2 linked regions of the Drosophila melanogaster genome follow. Changing the gene in region 1 together with any one later gene gives a genetic interaction. Each region holds a gene or a part of one and is shown in the gene's direction. Other genes may lie near its edges. The genes, in order: Adar and Gad1.

Region 1 (12,179 bases):
GATATTGTGATAACTGCTCACATCGCTAGATTCCGAGCAACAAAAAAGCGACGAAGGGTCATTGTTATTTTTTCTAATGCAATGTAATGCAGCAAATGTGCAGATTTGAACAAGTGTAACGCGATTTATGTTTAATCCGCATCGAGGAACCAAATCGAAGTAAACGCGCGGCCAGAGAAAAGAGCAGCACCGCACCGAAGATAAAACAAACAAGCATTGATTTGTTTGTCCGGCCATGTCAGTGTGTGTGTCACAAGGGCTTGCAAGTGTGTGCGTGTGTCCGTGCGTGTACGTGGGTGCTTTTTTTTTTCTCCCGAGTGCCGCCAAGTGAAATATGCAATTGCACGCCACTGCAGTTGCAGCCACACAAATCCTATCCTAATCGACGAAACAGCGAAGCGAGGAGGCTAGAATCGGCTGCCCAACGAAGAGAGCAGAACCGTTAACAAATGACACTCTGCCGATACAGCGAAGTAAAAATCAATAATTAGAGCAAAAAGGTATGCAGTAGCCAGAAAAGAACAGAACCCAATATACATGTGCACACATCTGCAGCCGTGTGTGTGTGTGTGTGTGTATGTGTCGTTGTATATCGCGTATCGCATTCATGCAAATAAAAGGCAAGCGACGGAAGTCAATAGATTTTATAGGTATTGTGTCCCGAAATAGGAGCAATTCCCCCCGATAAGTGCCGCAAAACGGCATAATAGGTGGAGCAAAGTGGATAGTGAATAGTGGGTAGTGGATAAGGGGTGTTACGTAGCTACATGGCAAAAACAAAAAAACAAAACACAAACACAGGGACACACATGCAAAAGCACATGCGACGTAACATTCCGATTCCGACCAACATCAAAGCGGAAGAGAACGAAAGAGGAGGAGGAGAGAGAGGAGCGAGTGGCGAAGAGAGGAAGGAAAGAAGAAGGGAAAGGCTTCACTGCTGCATTGCAGTGAATTGCGTTCATCTGCCCCTCGCGAACTTCCCCTGTTCACTTTGCATTTCACTTTCTTGAGCGAAACAAACAAGCCAACAAGCTATAGGCCAATAAGTTTGCATCCATTCTTGCAGCGAGTCTCAAAAGTCGCTCAGATACATATACAGCTACAGATTGAGATCCAGGTTCAGACTCAGATTCATTCAGAATGCGCGGCTCGTAGAGGAAGAACACGAGATACATCTGACCATGTGTAATTACCTAATGTGGCGCAGAGCTTAGTGCATAAAAGAGCAGATAGTAAGGTGCCTGCATAAGTTGTATACTGTGTGTAGTGCACTTTTGGCCAGCCAGTCGATGGCTACGACGGCTATGGGCCCGATTGGCCAATTCACGAGAGTGTGGGTGTACGAAAATCGATAGAATCGTGTAACTTGGGCATACAAGTACGTATGTTTAATGTTGCATGCATGTGGAATGTACATACATATATACGCATGCCTATAATCATGCTTATGAGCAGTTTTCTAGTTTCAAGAGTCGAGATTGTATGCGATGTCTTTATATCTTGCCGTCCCGACCAAGACCAATCAATGATCTGATTTGACTGATAGATAGATAGATATATAGATAAATAGATAGATATATAGATAAATAGATAGATATATATAGGTAGGTAGCTAGATAGATAGGTAAATACTTACATACATACCACATTGTATGCCTAAGCCCTACGAACTGCATTCTAAATGGACACGAAAATGAAACAGAATCCAATCGGAAGGAGAGGAGAAATTCTTATTAGACTTACATACTCTCAGGTGGGACTAGATTCGTAGCTTTGATTTAATTAATAGACTAATTATTAGCATTGAATTTTATGTTGTTAACAAAGAGCTTCTGCTTCAGTTCATATCGGTTTGATGTTACTTTTCTGAATATTGGTAGTTCATCATCATAGTCCTTTAAATCATAAATCACCATTAAAATAGCACAACAGATTTCACCAAGATATATAAAGTACATGAAATTCGATTCCAGAGTCATGTTAAACAGCGCTAATAACAATTCTCCCCAGCACGTAAGTAGACGAAAATCGTCATTAAAAATTAGATTTCTTTATAACTTGCTTATGCGATGTTTATGTATGTAAATGTACTTTTACGAATTCTCCAACACAGCTTGCATGTTAAGTTTACGCAAAATTGCATATGTACGCTTAGATTGAATCGGTCGATTTCAGGACTTTACTTTTAAGAACTCTACTATAGTCAGAAATTTAAAGGCAGTGAAGCAAAGTAAGAGGCTTCATCCAGGAAGTAAGAGGCTTTGGTCACGAGGACCGGGGTTATTCTGGGTCTTTCATGGTAATAAGACTGCATATTGGCTGGAAGCGATATGGTTCAGTTTGATCTTGCCGTAGACTCCTATGCATAAATGTAAACGTATTATTACTATTAAACAATATAGCATGATATTAGGCGTAGTTATGTGCAATTATTATACTCCATATGGCATGATTCGTAGTTTTAGGACAATTACATTATATTCTGGTGTACTTTCTTGTTCCGTTTTCCATTTTTGCAACTCGTTTTTAAATAGCATAAGATACTTATGATTAAATGGTAGGTAACTTTATACCTTGCTTTCCTATAGATCCTCTTTATTTTCAACATTTCTTTTGCTATGAATCACAACACCACCTAAGTTCCCCAAAGGAATTTCTTATTATTCTTTTTCGATGTGTTTATTTAAAATGAAAAAACTGATCATAATTTAAGAACGGAATTATGCTTGATGTTGTACTTGATGTTCATTAGTACTTGAAGCTGGCCGGTCCGGTCCTATTATACTAGACATTTACAATTTTCGCCATCACTTGTCCGACAAATGACACTCAACACACAGGTGCTGTGTTATATAAATATGTTGTAATGAATTCGAAATGGTCAGAACAGCGACAGAGGATATTTCTCGAGCCTAACGAGTTTCCGATTGTTTCACTTGTTTATTTCGTGCTTTGTTCACAACACACTTTGGGCATTTCACATTTATTGTTTCCCACTTTGGGCAGGCAATATATCTACTTATTGAAATTATAAAGAAATTTTAAAGGTATTCTTCGTACTTGCCGTGCAGCTCGGTGAGCTGTCCTTTTAGCCACCTATGCGCACATAAATAAACTACGAGACTGCAAGCGCCAATTGCTCCAAACTTTGACCATAAATATAATTTCTTCGAACTGAGTGATTCCGCAAATGTGTATCGTATATCCCGGAGTCTTAGTATATGTACACGCACACATTTTCGCAAGATATTTATTTTAAAATGTTGCTGTTGATTACTGCAGATTTTGATACGCCAATGCAACTCATGCATCTCTGAGTTTGTGCTGCAGCTGCTGCAGCAATAACCGCTCCACCGACATCCAAATTTTAATGTAAATTCGTTCATGCTGTAGGGTTGGTAATGTCTTTCTGACATTTTGACTTCATTAATTCGACGAAATCTGCCTTCTGGGCGTCTGCGAAAGTTTTATCAGCGCCAAAGCATCTCAATTTTCGACATGCACCGTGCTTTCTGTTCAATTGCAAAACAAATGACACCTGCCATTAAAGCAAGGTTGATGTCCTTCGATTAGAACGGGTGCCCCCTTAAGAGTGGTTTTCAAAATTAATTCCATGCTCGACTCAAAAAAGATGGCTAACACAGCTTATTATGTATTTTTTTTTCGGCCAGTACTGGTACGGGTTAGGGAGCAAATCAAACGAATTCCCCAGTATCCTATCAGATACCTTTTCAGCCCAGCCCTTTGAAGTGTCCCCGAATGCCTTGCACTGAAACGGACTGGCATGGCACATGTGCCTTCCCTTTAAAAGGGTATATAAATATCGAGCTCCTCGAGATCGCAGCTAGTCGCGCAAATTATCTGCACACTTACAAACATGTGTTTTTACACATGTATGTACATTTTTAAAATTTTTTTTTCATAATTGCAGTTCCTTCTACAAAATTAGCTGCAGTTGGCTTTTGTCGTTGTCAGATAAATGTCAGTGCTTAGCCGGGAAACTCGAAATTTATCAGTCGCTGGGTTGTAGACGGTCTTGAATGTCATATCGTTGCTCGATGCTCGCTGCTCAGTTTTCTTGCAACAGAAATAGCAGTGAAATAGGTGGACCAATAATGTATCCAGTGTCCTACAAACCAGGGCGTGCGTGCTACAAATCATGCCACCATGCAATGCGAGTAGCTCGATCCTCATTTGGTTACCAACGTCAACAGTTTTATGCCGCCTCTAGTTATGCAGGAAAAAGGTCACGATTTTTTGTTAAGCGCCGATTTACGTTCCCATCATTGCCTGGCAATGTAAGTAGATTTAGTCCAACCGAACTCTGTGTTCAAACCAAACTGAACCGAAACAAACTCGCACTCAAGGAGAGATACAACATGTAGTTTAATATTTGTATGCCTTTTAGCCGTAAGCCCACAAAAAACTACCAAAAATATAACACAAAATTATATGAACATATTTTAACCGAGCAAAATGTGTGAGAAAGTCGTTGTAACTAAACGTATTCGTGTGCTATTGTTTTACAAACGTCTTGCTATAACTGTCTATATGGTATCGATGTTGTTGTGCGTAATATTAAACAAAGCGTTGTGTGTATGTATGTACCATGATTGGTCTCTAAGTCATGTTTTTGCTTTCTAGAAGTGCATAATTCAATTCGGCAATATTTGATATATATGGTAATATCAAATGAAGAACCGTGTCAATGATACTTGCTTTGGTGCCATAAAAAGCAAGTCCTCTAGAAGACGCGAGTTACTACATGCCTACACACAAAACGGGTCCTTAAAATGAAGTTTGAATGCTTTTCGTTGTACTGTACAGTGTTAAAAGTAAATGCCTAAATACTCTTGATTTCACTATTAATGCATACGTATCCATAGCCGGTGAGTGCACCATCCGATATCAACATGAATGGCTATAACCGAAAATTGCCACAAAAACGTGGCTATGAGATGCCAAAATACTCTGGTAAGTCCATCCCCAAGCACTAGGATGTGCCCAATGTGCCATGCGGGCATATCCCAGATTGCTAGATCAAATGCGAATTAGTACACTGATTCCCAACGCCATTTCGTTTCACTAGATCCAAAAAAGAAAATGTGCAAGGAGCGCATTCCCCAGCCGAAGAACACGGTGGCCATGCTGAATGAGCTAAGACATGGACTGATTTACAAATTGGAGTCACAGACTGGTCCGGTACACGCACCTCTATTCACGATATCCGTGGAGGTAAGATATGTTTAAACCCATCGGACCCTCTGAGCGATCGACCACTGAGCTGAAACATGAGGAGGTCGCTTTGAGGAATTATCAAAGGAACGGAACCTGCGATCTCAAGTTCTCTAATCTAATTCACAGGTCGATGGACAGAAATACTTGGGCCAGGGCCGTAGTAAAAAAGTTGCACGCATCGAAGCAGCAGCAACTGCACTGCGCAGCTTTATACAGTTTAAGGATGGAGCAGTTCTGTCGCCTCTGAAGCCGGCGGGCAACTTGGACTTTACCAGCGATGAACATCTTGAAAATGGTATTGAAAATTTGTCCAGTTCAAAAATGTTTGAGATCATTCAGACGATGTTGACTGAAAAGCTATCCAACCCTACCTCGCTTGAACAACCCACGTTTTGCATGAGTCAGAGCAAGTATTAGTGTTTTTATCCTCTTTTGTTAATTATTTTAATTTATTATTTAATATAATTTATTCTGGAACCTTATGCGTTGTGGCCATATCAAAGATGTCTCCATTCATCTAATAGCAATGTTTTGGCCGAATATCCAATAGTATCGGCCATGTCACAAAATCAATTGTTATCAATGATTTTAAGCAAATATGTATGTTTAAAGTGCCGTAAGGTTCGCAATGTTGATTTTGGTATCGTTTGTGTTATTTGTATGAGAGCACACACAGCTCATTTGGACTGAAGTTTTTATAGGCCAAAGAGAATGCTTTTTACTTACTGAACCCATTTTTAATAAATAACCCAACAATCGGCTACTAAAAGGCCTCGGTGTACTTGAGTCCTGTTTTTCTCTTGTTTTTTTTTTTTTTTTTTTTTTTTCCTTTTATTAATGCGCCTTATTCAGCACATTATGCTTAATAGAGCAACCAATTCTGTGCTTCAGTGTCGTACGCTTACTTAAATTGACTTTCATTGGTTGATCTCTACGTTTTTATAAGTTTCTTGTGTTTCTTGTTCATTGTTCCCCTCGCGTTTGTCTGATATGGCTAGAGACCACTATTGCGTCTGAAATAAGATTAGAAAACTAAGGCGTAGCTTCAGAGTGACGAGCAGTCAAATATCCCCAGCTAATTTTGTTTTATATTGCTAGATGTCAGCAAAAGTGCTATTACTGTTGACGGTCAGAAGAAGGTTCCAGATAAGGGTCCTGTCATGCTCCTCTACGAATTATTTAATGACGTTAATTTCGAATGCATTAATATTGACGGCGCCCAGAACAATTGTCGCTTCAAAATGACCGTCACAATCAACGAAAAGAAGTTCGATGGAACAGGTATGTAGTTGAATTATCTCGTTGTTAACGTCAACCCACCCAGCCACATACAATGTATGCTAATGTGTAACTCAATTTTTCTCAAGGTCCTTCCAAAAAGACGGCGAAAAATGCGGCAGCTAAGGCGGCACTTGCTTCGTTATGCAATATTTCCTACAGTCCAATGGTGGTGCCACAGAAGAACGTACCCCTGCCAATCGACGACAAGTCGTCATCGATGGAGTTGCCTCAGATACACGCGGATACGATTGGTCGGTTGGTCTTAGAAAAGTTCATGGAAGTAATCAAGGGCCAGGAGGCTTACTCGCGTCGAAAGGTATTAGCGGGCATTGTAATGACTGAAAACATGAATTTTTGTGAAGCCAAAGTGAGTCCGCAGCCAGCGAAGCATTGCGAAACCAATTATAATGCCAAACCCATCCTTGATCAGGTTATTTCAGTTTCGACGGGCACCAAGTGTGTCAGCGGTGAGCATATGAGTGTGAACGGAGCTGTCCTAAATGATTCCCATGCTGAAATAGTCTCCAGGCGTTGTCTTCTCAAATATTTATATGCACAGCTGGACCTTCAGTGCAATCAGGGTATAGTTGTTTGATGTATATGCTAAGTTCAGTTTACGTATACTAATAATACCATAGAACTTAAATCTAAGAGTAATGCATAATCTAGTTGTTAAATGTTGATATCGAAAATGTACGCTTTACCAGCAAGAATTGCCTACATAGAAGCTAAAGTTCCGATTTGTGCTCATTAACCGTATACGAGCACAAACTTTTATTTTTTCTTTCTTTTACACATTATAAACAAGCACTTTAAGCTAACTTATGTTTTCCCCGTCTGATCGTTTTAGAAGGTGTTTATACAAAATTAAATTTTAAGGGCAAACCATCTTAAAAATAAACAATTTGTAAACATTATCAAATCTAAGCACAAACATTAAAAATCTCGAATATCCTTTATTTTGAATGGCATTTACCTTAATTACTTAATTACTAACATTTCAGTTGTACTATTTCATTGAATTATTATCTAAATTGCAAACCAATTATTAAGTAGCAAAGGGAAAGCTTCTAAAGTAACATTGTTTCTTTTGAATTCAATGTAATGCCTGTGGCATGATTTGGGCCCAGTGAACACATTTAGTATTCTTAAGTCAAAACTCACCTATCGGAAACACAATTAATGATAGTTCTTTTGACTTGGAAATAAGAGTGGGCATTATAGGAAAAGGTATTTGCCTTTGGCTCAAAACAAAATCATAAAATATGTATAAGTTGCGTAGTATTTTGCGATTGGCATTTTGCTTTCCCAGCTTAACATTCTTACTAAAACATGTTTCGCATTGTTTTGTTGGACTTCTTTTCATGTATACCTTTGCGTATTGGTGAAAAGAATGAGATTTAAACATAAAACTACTTCGTTTTACTTTAATTTATATTTGATTACTCTTATTCAATTTTCTCCTAAATTTAGCCACAGCATATCAGTCGATTTTCGTGAGGAATACTGATGGGCAATACCCTTATAAACTAAAATCCGGGGTACATTTCCATTTGTATATAAATACAGCACCTTGTGGGGATGCACGGATATTTAGTCCTCACGAAAACGACACTGGTGTTGATAAACATCCAAATAGGTTGGTACAAACTGCATTCTATAAATACTCGATATTTTTATATGAAGAATACTTTCTCTACCTATTTACACATTTAAATTGTATTATTCAAGTAGAATTATAATGATTTATATTTGTACGCAATAAGAAACGACATTTCCCTGCAGGAAACACGTTGAGATTGCAAAAAAAATTTGTATTTGCATAAAAAAAATATATATTTGTATATGTACAATTGCGTGCTTAAGAATGCCACAAGTTACCGTCAATGAAATTGCGACATTTGTTCATTATAAATAACTTTTAAAATCTGGAATGCAAGCATATGCCAAAAGAAGAAAGCACTATATCGCACACTTTCATTTCAATTTGTGGCAACATAATGCACGAAATTGTTCATATTAAATATTAGAACTATCAATTTGAACATGAGCATGAATGTATACAAGAAATCAGGTATTTTAAAGCTTTTACTCTTTGTGTTGAGTCTGTTTAGAAATGTATTTGCCCCCGGCTTTTTATTCGCCATCCGTTGTCTGTATGTATGTGTCTGTAACGATTCAGTCAAGTGATTAAGATGACAAGGATATACAAAACATGGGCTTCCGCTTCCACAATTTTGTTAAATACGTATTTGTATGCCCTTGCAGTTGTTATAGAACGCAGAGAATAAGGCATCTCTTCCGCTATTAATAAACTATTGCATAGTCTATATGGCAATGTCCGTCTACAAACTTCGGAGCTCCGAAGTTTCCTTTCTTGTTTGCAACAATCGTTTAAAATGACAGTTCGAAATAGGTTAAGCATAAAAGTACCTACCATTTGAATCAGATTTAATAGGTGCCGGTCTGAGGGATTACTTTGAAGTATATGTGAGAAATGAATTTTAATGATAAGCCTTGCCGCCCGCCACTCCCTACCACATAATGAAGTAATTCATACCATGTTTTGTTTCCAGTATTACTTGGCATGTTTTAAACGTAGTTTTTGAACAAGCTAATAATTATATTTTCCATACTCACATTTTATAATGCCGACAACGAATCATACATGAAATAATCATCAATCAACAGAAAAGCTCGTGGCCAGCTGCGCACCAAAATCGAGTCCGGTGAGGGGACGATTCCAGTGAAAAGCAGTGATGGTATCCAGACGTGGGATGGCGTATTGCAGGTAACCCGATTGGGCGGTTGCTATTAGATCGTGGTAAACCATCAACATTACAACATTTATGACTTTTGTGCAGGGCCAACGCCTGCTAACAATGTCGTGCTCGGATAAAATTGCCCGTTGGAACATCGTGGGCATCCAAGGCTCACTATTGTCTTCCATAATTGAACCGGTGTACCTGCATTCGATTGTGCTGGGAAGCCTGTTGCATCCGGAGCACATGTACCGCGCAGTTTGCGGCCGAATTGAGAAGTCCATTCAAGGCCTGCCACCGCCGTACCATCTGAACAAGCCGCGCCTGGCACTAGTCACTTCGGCCGAGCCGCGGAATCAGGCCAAGGCTCCCAACTTCGGGATCAATTGGACCATTGGGGACACCGAGCTGGAAGTGGTGAACTCGCTAACCGGTCGAACCATTGGCGGCCAGGTGTCTCGCATCACAAAGCAGGCGTTTTTCGTTAAGTATGGATTTCTAATGGCAAACTTGCCCGGTATTTTAGTCCGCAAAGTAACCACTGACTATGGGCAAACCAAAGCTAACGTTAAGGACTATCAGGTGAGTGTTTATATGCTGGATCATTTGAGGATATGCATCAAATTGTTTGCCACATCTGTTCTTGTAGATCGCAAAGCTAGAATTGTTCTCTGCATTCAAGCGAGAAGACCTTGGCAGCTGGCTGAAGAAACCCATTGAACAAGACGAGTTCGGTCTTGCCGAATGACTGCACTCAGCACTATTATATAATTTTAAAAAAGACAACAGCAACGGCAAGCAATTAATAGAATTAGACGACATAGATTTTATGACAAATTCTGATATAGAATGCAAATTATATTGGGTGCAAGCACATCGCTATGATATACCACTTCATATGATTGACAACCTGCCAACTTTGCGTACCCATTGCAATAGCAAGCACAAAGATGCTTATGCTCGAAATATAAAGAACAGCTCTAGAATATTTATAGAATAGAATGTAGTTTTTATGCTGGAACTGAGTAAAGGAGTATTATGGCGTTTTTTTTTGAATCAATTCATTTTTAAATTGGCTAAAGCAATTTCTTTATCATTTAAGTTTGTGACTTGTTTTGTTATTTGAATGAATGCGATGCGTTGCGATGTCGTCGTAACCACACTGTCGAAACTTTCAAGTGAGTTGTGTCTTTCGTTTTCCGTATTTTATATGGTAAATATGGTAATATGGAATGTTACGAAACAGTTAAAAGATATATATAAAACCAAAAACCAACAAGTACACTCAATGAATAACAATAATCCAAACAGAAATCTAGAATTCGTTCTCTTATCGATTAAGCAATGTATTTTGTTAAGTAATGTTATTTGCAACGACATAATAATTATAATAATAATAAAGTCACGCTTAATATAAGCATAAGAACATTTTAGGTGAATCTGCGTTAATTTCGCGTACTTTTCTTCAGATCAGATATAAACCTAAGCTTTAATCGATTTTCAATGAATAAAACTGTGTTCTTGGTTGAAAAACATTATATCTATGTAACAACATTTTATCAATTAAATTACGTAGATTTCTTTGCATATTAGTTGATACAAATCACATGCAAGCGAAAGCAGATAAGAATAAAAATACATATATTAGTTACCAATTTTGTAGCATGCTGATAAAGGCATTTGAACTACCTAACTAAGTCTTATCATGAAGCTTGTATCGCTATTTCGTATATTGTAGAAATACATACTATATTAGTTGTGGTTACTTGTACATCATAATACCTTCTCTTAAATTTACTTCCGCCCTGAGTTCTTCCGGTTGTTCGTTCAATTTGAAATGACAATTGTTAATGGTCAAATCAATAACTACTCTTCCAACGTCGATTGACGTATTCCAATTTAAAACAAGGCGATTTGGCTCCTCTTTTATTGTGTACTTGAAAATGCTACGACGAATGATCTAGTCAAATGTGGTAACCTAATAAAGCCATAGTCTCCTACCATTCAGTTATGTGAAATAAATATTACGTCGAAGTTGCATAGAAAACGAAAATGAAAAGGACTGCATGACATTAGAGCAGCACAGCATATTTTGTTGCAGTTGCAGTTTGTCCGAATCGTCTTAATCTCACTCACGACCTCGAAAAGGTTTGAGTACCGACTTCTTGCGATATAATTTTTCATTTAAAGCCGTAAAATTTCTTTAAGTACTAAAATTCAACCGCTTAATTCGTCCAATGCCGTTTATAATTAACAAGCTACTTCGAAGTTTAATTTCCTTTGACTTTCTCACAGTCCACTTAATGATACTTTTAGTAGTAATTTACATGATTGCTTCGCAACTTGTATCCTTCACTACCGAGTGAACCTGATGGGCTGATTGTGTTTTAAAAATGAAAAAGAATTAATTGTTAACTTTTTCAGCACGGCACGAAGTAGGCAATTGAGTTTTAAGCTATTGAATTTGGAAGCGTAGCTTATGGGAAATTTGCTGATGCTGAATACAAATATAATAGGAAAACCATCAGGGCTTTTTAAATGTGAAATTATATTTTAAGTGGAGAGGACATTATTTATAATTTTCAATAGTGGTATTCTTCAAATTACGTCGATAGCAAAAATTTAATTATAGATTTCCTTTAAGTTCAAAGTGATACATGTACACCATTTTTTTTCCTGCGCATGCTAAAAATATATTGGCATATTATTTGTGAAAAAGAAAAAAAAACTTGCGAGTTTTTCTCCATTACTTGATTAAATAATAATATGACGATATAATTGACTTAAGTAATATTTGCAAAAATACCGCGTATGATGGATAAACCAAAGTTGATCTTATATAAAATACTGTGATACTAAATTTTACTAGTACTTCCAGCATAGCTGCATTTTATC
Region 2 (9,237 bases), on another chromosome or scaffold:
TGAATGTGCTCTGAAAATTGCCTTATAACTTTGGTGCAATACAATATTTATTAATTATTTTCCATTTTCCTTGATTAGTAGTAGTGCATGGTTAATATTAGCAATAGTACTGATATATAGACACTGAGTATGCGAACTTCCTTGCCTGCTCTTCTCCTGCTAAGTTATAGTTAATTATTGTCAGTCACAGCGTCGCGTTTGCCACAACAACGTGTGCTTGTATTGACTATATCTTCGAGCTCGAATCGAAAATCTCATTATTATTATTATTATATAGAATATCTTACAAACTATTTGGCAGCTGGCCGATCTTTTTGGCGCTGCCGCAACGCATGTCTTCCAGAATGCGATTTAAGTTGTCTTCCATTTCAATGCAATGCGAAAAAATGTCTTCCAAACACACAGATAATATGCATACAATACATCATATGCGATTATTTATGCTGAACAATATGACACCTAGATATTATGGTAACTATGGTTTACAGCTTTATGTATATATATATATTCATATATATATATATATGATGTATACGGGTCTGGTAGATCCAGTATAGCCCGTCTGAGTTTCTGATTTGCAATCGCAACTCATTTTGTGGATATATATATAGACCAATTACATGTGTTATTCGTTAGTAAGTACAAGTATATATTTTATAAATGTTGCTTTTGCGTTTAAGGGCCGTAACCAACACTAAACTCTTGGTTGGCACTTTGGCCTAATTGCGACACTCCTAATTGATGCTGATTTGAAATATCTCAATGCTTTAGATTCGCCAATAACTTGTAAGCCAAAACAAAGGAAATTCTTTAGATACCAACTTGTTTTTGCCTCGTGGTAAATTGATATGCTGATTCCATCGAACCAAGGTGTATTCCAAATAAATGTGATTGGGTGTTTTTTTTTTTGTTTTTTGATTTTGGGTAGTGTTTACCGCACGATATGTTGTGTACATTGATATTAATTGGTTGTTCATCTTCATATATCTCTTCTTGTGTCTCCTCAGTCCAATTCCTTGACCAATCACCTAAATACGGGTTGTGTCCGTCCCGGGGATTTCGGATGCCTTTTGGGAGGGCATCCTCATCCTCCGAGGCGACGCACTGGAAGCCCTGCGTGATTCTGCTGTTTCTCGAGTGTGGGGGGTAAAGTCCCCCCCCTTGCTTACTCTATAGCTTTTCTATAGTTAGTTGTAATTGAAATTAGTTACAAATTAATTGATTCGCATAGGGAATTTTTTTTGTTTGCTTGCTCCTCCTCCTCATCGTATATTCTTCTCTATGTATTATTTATATTGAATTGTTTGATTTTTTTTTTGATTTTTCTATAGTTTTTGTTTTTATCTCTTTACAGTATTTAACTAAACTTTCGTAACACGTTTTCCGATATAGATTATATATGGGAGATACTTTTTCATGACAACAATAGCACTAACTGAAGTTCAAAAACGAAGAACAACAAAACATCAGATAATCAGATAATTCTCGATCCATATATATGGTTTTGTGATTTAGCGCCTCCATCGGGAGCGATCCCCTCAGGAAGGTGGGGATCGCTCAGCTGAAGAACGGCGATAAATCACAGTTGCACAAAGACCCGCCATCGCCAGTCTTGCAGAGCACCTTGCACACTTCGTCCCAGTCCGGTGCCGGAGTGGTTGTGTCCGTTTCCGAGGCGGCTGCCACGGTAGCTGCGGACACTGTTGCTTCCTCGACCGATCCTCTCCGTTCGGCATTCTCCGCGGCTCTGGAACCGTGTGTTGGATCGCCCAGCACTCCACTGGCCTTCTCCTCGTCCTTTCGAACCTCCTCCTGCTTCTCCTCCTCCTGCTTCCGCTCCTTCATCACCCTCATCCTGCGCACCTCCTGCTGGCAGGGACTGCATCCGGGCAGGGAGCGACCCATCTGACCACAAAAGCTCGAGCAGACCAAGTCGCCCGCTTTAGCTGGAAGTAAATAAGTGCATTTGATTAGTATGTTTATTTTTCAAAAAGCAAATTAACCTTAAGTTCGACCATAATAATCATTAAAGTATAATATTTTGAATAGAGTTTCAATATATTATTTTCCACTTACCCCTAGGCAGTCCACACAGTTGCCGGCACTTGGCCACATCCGTCTCCGGTCTCAGGATTGTGTTTTTGGCCACATCAGGCGTTGAAGCAACGCCCAGGCCAGCTCTGCAAGGATCAACCATAAAATGCTGATTAAATTGCAATGCAGAGTAAATTAAAAAAAAAAAAGATTTAAGATGACAGTATATGACACTCGCATTACCAAGTTAAGAACCATGATATATGCATAATTGTTATTGAAACTAGGTTTACAGATAACATAGTTTTAAATAGCACAAATGATCTAGGAAAATCTCGACTTGATAAACTGTTTTTTTTTTTTGTAAAAAATATATTTATTTCAAAACATTTTTAAATAGTATTAAACACCAAATTAAAAAATAATGCAGAGTATATTTTAAATATAAACGCAAGCCAAAATGTTCTAATTAATAATATTTGTAAATTATATATCGTAAAATTGTGAAATAATTTTGATTAGCTTTGACCCGACATTTAGAATTTATTTTTTAAAGCCTATTCAATTTTTTAAGTGAGCACAGTACTTCTGGCGACTTCGAGTGCCATTTATACTTAACATATTTGGCACTTGACAAACTACTGCACACACGCCACAAAAGTCGAGTCACGAATCATTGATATAGCCACCGATCATCAGGAATGCGGATTATATTTCCCTGACACACGCGATTGTGGGAAAACCTCGATGGAAGCCACTTGAAAGGCCGACGCGATTTGCAAATGATTTCTCAAGGCCAACATTTTAGTTGGTAAATGTGTCGTATTATTATCATTATTAGTTTGCACTTTTTTTTGTGTTGGGGGGAAACCTGCACTTGCCAACAATAAACACTTGAGTCACTTTGCGCCGAGGCACCTTACTTTCAGTAATTCCTAGAGTTTTCGATTGCTGTTTATCCGAAACTTACCCGCAGAGCTCTTTACACAGCAAACTCCAATCCTGAACTGCGCTGATGGTTTGGACGTCTTCAAGGATTTTGGCTGCTGAATGCGCTGCCGTCGGAGCAGCATCCCCCAAAGTGTCGTCCTTCAGGACGGGCGATGACGTCACAGCCTGCGCCTGCGCAGCCAGGATGAGGATTGTGACCAATGGTATGACGAGCTGTAATCCACATCCCCCCATTTTTCTCTGTCGCTTTTCAACACGCTCTCCCATCGCTGGGCTGAAAAGAGATGGGTAGATTACGGAACTGGGGGATGGGTTTTTCACGCTGGTTTGGGGCGTATTATCCTCCAGGGAGGACTGGGCCAAAATGGAGACTGTTTGGCCCCGTACAATAGGAGCAATTGTGCTCGAAATGCAATTATCGCGCTCTCAAAAATAGGCAGCAAAAAGCAGCGTTTGGGGTACTTGCCTGCGGGGCCTAATCCTTACACCATTGTTATCCCGAGCATTTGCTATCCGAATATCATTCGCTTGATTTGCCAAACCGAAAGGGGTTATGCAATCGCCTGTCTTTCGAACGCAACTGAGACTCCCACCTGGCATCCTGGCATTCTGGCATCCTGACAACGCTTTTGCAACGGGATTCTCGTCGAAAATACCTCACATAAATGCCTCAGCTAACCAACCTGCTGGAATCTTATTTTGTCAGCGTAATGACAGGCTAAACAGTCGAAATTCCCAAACTCCCATTTGTTTTCCACGGGCAACGAAAAATGTTCATGGCCCCCGGGGTGCGGAGCATTCCCTGGCCCACTGTGCTTCTGATGCCTCTGGCTGGCAGTTGAGAGTCGAGTGCCAAAGAGGACGCTTCGCCCTGGCCAGAAACGCCCGGTCTGAATTAGCCGCCCGAGAATAGCAGACCCAAGCTCCCAGCTCCATCCGCATCCGTGGGTGGCACTTGACTCCAAACATTTTCGCCTATCTGGGTTACAGGGCCTACTTGCGCTACGTGCAATCACAGCCAGGTGAGCATCCTATTTTCTGGTCGAGAGCTCATCTCATTGTTCAATTCCATTCGCTAGTTGTGCTCTTATGAAAGGGTATCGATCCTGTCTAACTATTTCTACTGATGCAAAGTATCTATCTCAATTTATTTATCTGCTATCATTAATAATAAGGAATGTTTATAATGAAGTATTAAATATTTAATGACTGCATAGTTTTATTTTTTGATAATTTTACAAATCCCTTTCAGCTTTCTAGTTTGATTAAAATCAAATAAATAGTTCTTCAAAGCTTTGTTATTTTTAGTAATATGACTATTCTTTTAACTAAAATATTCCTTAAAAATGTACATATAACTTTTAAAAGGGACTGCAAGGCGACATGCTTGTATTGCAACCATTATTTTTGAGAGTATTTTAAACATCGCTCTTAAAATGGCTTAAACCCATAATCCTTTTGTTTGTCCATGTCTGCTGCTGTTTCTGTTACTGTTTCTGTTTCTGTTTCCGTTTCCTGTTACAACTCACTGTGCTTTTCCAAAAGTTTGACTCAATTAAATCCGATTGTTCGTGGCACCTGCTCCGCTCGAAATGCTTAAATCCTTAACTCGACGGGATTTATATAAAGCTGTCCGCTACAAATGGTAGCAGTTGTTCAACTGAGCCCAAACCGGCCCAAACGAAAATCCCACTTACTAATAATAAATGTTTTTGATGGCTTTATCTGCCGGTGTCATAGATTCAAGTGCGAATCAGAGGATAGACTATCGCAGATACACCCGATCCCCCCCTCCTTTTCAGACTGGTCTGTTTGCCATATATCTGCGATAAGTGCAGACCGAGTGCCTAATTATTATTGGTAGCACATGCCGTTGAAGTGCTTTTCAGATAGCAGGCGACTTTATTTCGCCATGTTTAGTGGTTCTAAATACCATGAGCTGTTTTTGTATCAGAAATATTTGTCTGACACTTGTGATGGATGGGTTTTGTTAAAGGGTTACGCAGATGTTAAGGCGTAGGGTGCAAATTCATATCTATTAGGCGCCATATTTGTCACTTAAGGTCTTCTAAAATGTTTTTATTGTTTCAAGAAAGCAATTGAGCAATTAACAATTAAAAAACTGCGAAGAAAGTCCTTTCACACAGTTGTTGCCACATCAAAAGTAACGATTTCGTTGTGCAATTACGGCTTTATGGACTTTCTGCAACTGCCGTTGGATTTCTTCTAGCTAGTGCTACAAAGTAATGCACTACGCCCTATGAGAATGTTTTGAAAGTCATGTTGAACAAGTGTCGACTTCATTTTGCCAATATTGCAGGCATTCAATAAAAAAGATGGATCACAGGGACTAGCAAGGGAGTTATTGCCACTGTAATGGCCTTCTTAAGTTGCAATCAGTTACATCGAAAGACACTTTTCAAGTGCCAGAGCCCTCGCAACGAAAATACGCTGACGCATTGGATCCTGCCCAGGGAGCAGGAGCTGGAGCAGCAGCAGGACCAAGTGCCAAGTGCCAAGTGTGTGGTAACATCCTACGCCAGCTGCTCCGTGTGTCAGATAAGAATGGAAGTGGAGTGGGTGGAACTCTTTTGCGGCAAGTATTCCTAGGGTTCTCGTTGTTTAAGCTTCTCCAGTTTGATGGACGTCCTTTTTGGTCCTGCTGCTCCTGGGCTCTTTACCCAAGTTGCATAACATGGCCATAGATGTTCTCTGGCCCTCAAAAGTATGCTACGAAACGCGTTCTATTGGAAATGATGCAATTTCACTCTGAGATACATATCTATTTTGCATAGCCCAAGTGGGCGGGCGGCCTAGCTTTGACCCAAATTTCGTTTTTGTTCTATATACCAGGAATCTATATGCTTTGGCTTCTATATCTAAGCGCACATATGTACATATATGCGGGAAATGAAAGTAATTATAGGGTTATTTTTTTTTGTTTCATTCGACAGGAAACTCTCATAAAAAGTTGTGGGTCATTGTAAATGTCAGAAACAGTGGCAAAATTAGTTTGTTAATTAGCTTTTCATTTGGTCGCCCCATCACAATCTATATTTTCCTTTCCCTTTATCCCGTTTTATTATTTCTTTAGCATTCACCAGGCGTGCGCACATATTTCATGTGTATCTGTTGGATACTTTGGGGCGCGCATGGCCGAAGCTCCGCCCACGCAAAATGGCCTTAACAAAGATGGTTTCCGAAAAATCAATGACGTCACCCGGAGAATTTCCCGCATTTTCCTCAGCCCCACTGTTGTTGTCGTTGTCGCTGAAGGTTATGCAAGAGATTGAGGAGTAGTATGTATATACATAGGTACGCTTGTAGTGGTATATGGGCAGCCATTTTTTGGATGCGAAAAGCTTCGTAGGCAACTCAGGCGGATGCTGCTGCTCATAGCTCCGCAGATCGTCAGCGAGTGTAGGCTGCTCAGTTCCCTAAGTTTCCCAAACCGAAAGTGAAAGTTGCCCGAAACCTGTGAACCTGTGAAAATATATATACATTTCAAATCCAATAGTAATTCCCAGTCCGTTCAATCAGCGAATTGTTGCTCCTCCGTTTCGCGAGTGATTTTCAGTGTTTTTTGTTGTTGCTAGGAAGAAGAGAACTCTGTAAGTTGTCGTTGGTTTAGACCACAAGTAGTTAATCGCAGCTCCATCTCAGAGATACATTTCGATACATTTCGTACTCGCACATTCCTCTAGCTATATCTTTTCGAAAGCCTCGTCGGTGATTCGTCGCCCCCCGCAGACAGTCAAAGTGAATTACCTAAAGCAGTATATCGACGATATCCGCAGGATTATCGGTAAGACTCCCAGACGATTTTGTTGCATAAGTTTCGCACTGTCCAAGGTTTTCGCCATTAATTGCAGCTGTCGCGCTGTCTGTATCCCCATGTAAATCAAGCTTATGTATATATATAAGCTTATATATATATATACTATATATGTTCGTTCCGTCGCAGGAAATTGGCTTAACACTCACTGCGCAATAGCAGATGGCGCCAAAAGTGAAAAGGAGGGGCCCTGAAATCCGTGTATATGTGGCATATACCAAATACTTACCTCCCACTTGGAGCTTGCCCTTCAGTTGTCCTTGTACCAACAGCCCCCCCCCCCTTCTCGTTCGCCAAACTCCGCATTCCATTTTCCATTTTCCACTCTGTTTATTTACACGCCCATTGCATTTTCGCACCGTTTGTTTGTTTGCTTGTCTTGGTTATGCAATTTGTGTGTGTGGGTTGTTGGAAAATGGGGGCTTTCGAAGTGCAAGGACTTATGTAACACCTGCCCCGAGGACCCACGGCCTTCGGTCGATTGCATAACATTGACTCACTTCATTTGGCCGAGCTCCATTTTTCCTTATCTTGCTGAGTCCGCACTTTGCGTTTCCCCCCTAATAATTTCATCACGTTTTTTACTCTGTATCTTTTCAGAGGAGAAAATGTCGCTGAATCCCAACGGGTATAAACTGTCCGAGAGGACGGGCAAACTGACGGCATATGGTGAGTATCTATTTGAATTTAAAATAATATAATGTTTCATAAACAATATAAGAAAACAGATTCGGGAAGATGAATTAAATATGCGTATGTATATTTACTCTCTAGAGAACTCAGGTTTGTTTTAGTCTACCAAAAAATCCTTTTGTAACCCGATTTTAAAGAGCCTATATTAGTTTTAGATACGAAATATTAGAAAGCGTGGTATTATCGTTGTTTTGTTTTAAAAATGTTATTTTGATAAGATTTCAAAATGCTTAAAAAAGTCCTTTGGTTATACAACACAGCAAGGAATAGAACAAGGACCCTACAGTTAAGTTCCCTGACTGTCAGATAGTAAACACTTTGCTGAGGTATCTGAGGCATCTGAGGTAAAAGTAATGAGGTAAAAGTATTTTTCCCTTTTGGTATAAGTATTGTACATTGTATCTGCAGCGTTTTGTCGATAAGTAATTAATATTCCATCGGGTAGCTCCTTGTCATAACCATAAATTGCAAGAAAACAAGGACTTAGAGCTAGCCGAGAGCAAGAATTTATTTTCGAATTGTGCAACTCCAACCTGTCACATTCCGGCACAAGAAACATATTTTGCGATCATGTGTCTGGGGGGCGATTACTTCGCCTTGGTAATAATCCTGGCAAACATTGGTCCTACGCATAACTGCACTCGAATCGCATCGCTTTTGGCTGGGCAAATAATAAACGAGTGTTAAACTGACACTGCCAGGAACAGGGAACAGAAAATGGGCAAGCTGGGCAACTGGCGCACAGGAGTCTGCTGTTTAAGGACATGGACAAGCGGTGGGCTGTCCAGGACACTCGTGTGTCCTTGATAAATGGCCCCGCACTGGAAGCTCCTTGTGTTTCGTGTGCGTTTGCTGCCTCTGGTGAAGCGTGAAACTGGCGACTGTTGCCCTGTAACAGATTTCTGCTCGACAAACACGCAACAAACAGACAGAACAGAACAGAAAGTCAAACAAACCACCACCATTCGATGTACATATGTATGTATGTGTGTTGCACAAGGACCAGAAAGGTGGCAGGACTCTCCCCGAGGCGGCAGACGCGTGCCTCAGATTGAAAGGCCAACAAACATAAACCGTTTAGTCACAGGATATTGCTCACGCTCGATTCCAGGACGCTCGTGTGCGGCGGCTGCTCGTAATGCCTTCCAAGGACTCGCAGGACTCTCGGCTGGGCCAACGTCTGCCTTTGACACTGAGCACCCACCGAAGCAGACGAGCACATTAAATTTTATTTAACTTCTTGGCCGTAAAGTCGTGGAATTTTTCAAACTGTTACAATTTGTCGCACCACCTCCCCCAACGAAAATGGTAATCATGCGCAACGTTAAGTTTGCAATTGATTTCCAAGCTGGCTTCTAATGGAGCTGCTCCCATTTGCTCGCTGGCTTAGTGGCCACTGCCGATGCTTAAACGAAAGCCCCAGTAATTAATTGCAGCCACCGCAGAAGGACGAAGGCAAGGACACCGAGACCAAGGATATGTACAACCCACAAGGGTGTGATGCCCAAATCCTGCTAGTTTCCGAATAAGCTTCGCTGATGTACAGCGTTTTAATCCCAGTGTTTCGTTATTCCGGGCAGTAAAATTAAATAAAATTGTAATTGAAAGACATGAAAATTACACTCTTAATGTATAATAATAAATGCAATCGCTATAAAAGTTTTTTATTACCGCTAAGTGAATATTAACGTAATGGGAGAATAGAGGTACTTCAATGCAAATAG

The links.
Region 2: of Adar (region 1) and Gad1, changing one suppresses a phenotype caused by changing the other (phenotypic suppression), as found in Drosophila melanogaster (one study listed by BioGRID).

The regions. Positions count from the first base shown.
Region 1 is NC_004354.4:1,773,723-1,785,901, forward strand, and holds Adar (adenosine deaminase acting on RNA), read left to right. Parts: upstream 1-4,096; 5' UTR 4,097-4,118; coding exon 4,119-4,301; intron 4,302-4,647; exon of another isoform or gene 4,648-4,796; coding exon of another isoform or gene 4,797-4,838; exon of another isoform or gene 4,839-4,889; coding exon 4,890-4,977; intron 4,978-5,092; coding exon 5,093-5,238; intron 5,239-5,367; coding exon 5,368-5,536; coding exon of another isoform or gene 5,537-5,658; exon of another isoform or gene 5,659-6,339; coding exon 6,340-6,522; intron 6,523-6,608; coding exon 6,609-6,889; intron 6,890-6,952; coding exon 6,953-7,103; coding exon of another isoform or gene 7,104-7,117; exon of another isoform or gene 7,118-7,478; intron 7,479-7,995; coding exon 7,996-8,161; intron 8,162-9,213; coding exon 9,214-9,313; intron 9,314-9,386; coding exon 9,387-9,866; intron 9,867-9,933; coding exon 9,934-10,032; 3' UTR 10,033-10,279; downstream 10,280-12,179. UniProt on the Drosophila melanogaster protein: Has A-to-I RNA editing activity on extended dsRNA: edits RNA-binding protein Rnp4F. A-to-I editing of pre-mRNAs acts predominantly through nervous system targets to affect adult nervous system integrity, function and behavior.
Region 2 is NT_037436.4:4,082,982-4,092,218, reverse strand, and holds the start of Gad1 (glutamic acid decarboxylase 1), read left to right. Parts: upstream 1-3,474; 5' UTR 3,475-4,007; intron 4,008-4,514; exon of another isoform or gene 4,515-4,638; intron 4,639-6,375; exon of another isoform or gene 6,376-6,596; intron 6,597-6,689; exon of another isoform or gene 6,690-6,790; intron 6,791-7,420; 5' UTR 7,421-7,428; coding exon 7,429-7,489; intron 7,490-9,237. Other genes in the region: CG14989 (uncharacterized protein), read right to left, coding at 1,558-1,946, 2,077-2,180, 3,005-3,252. UniProt on the Drosophila melanogaster protein: Catalyzes the production of GABA.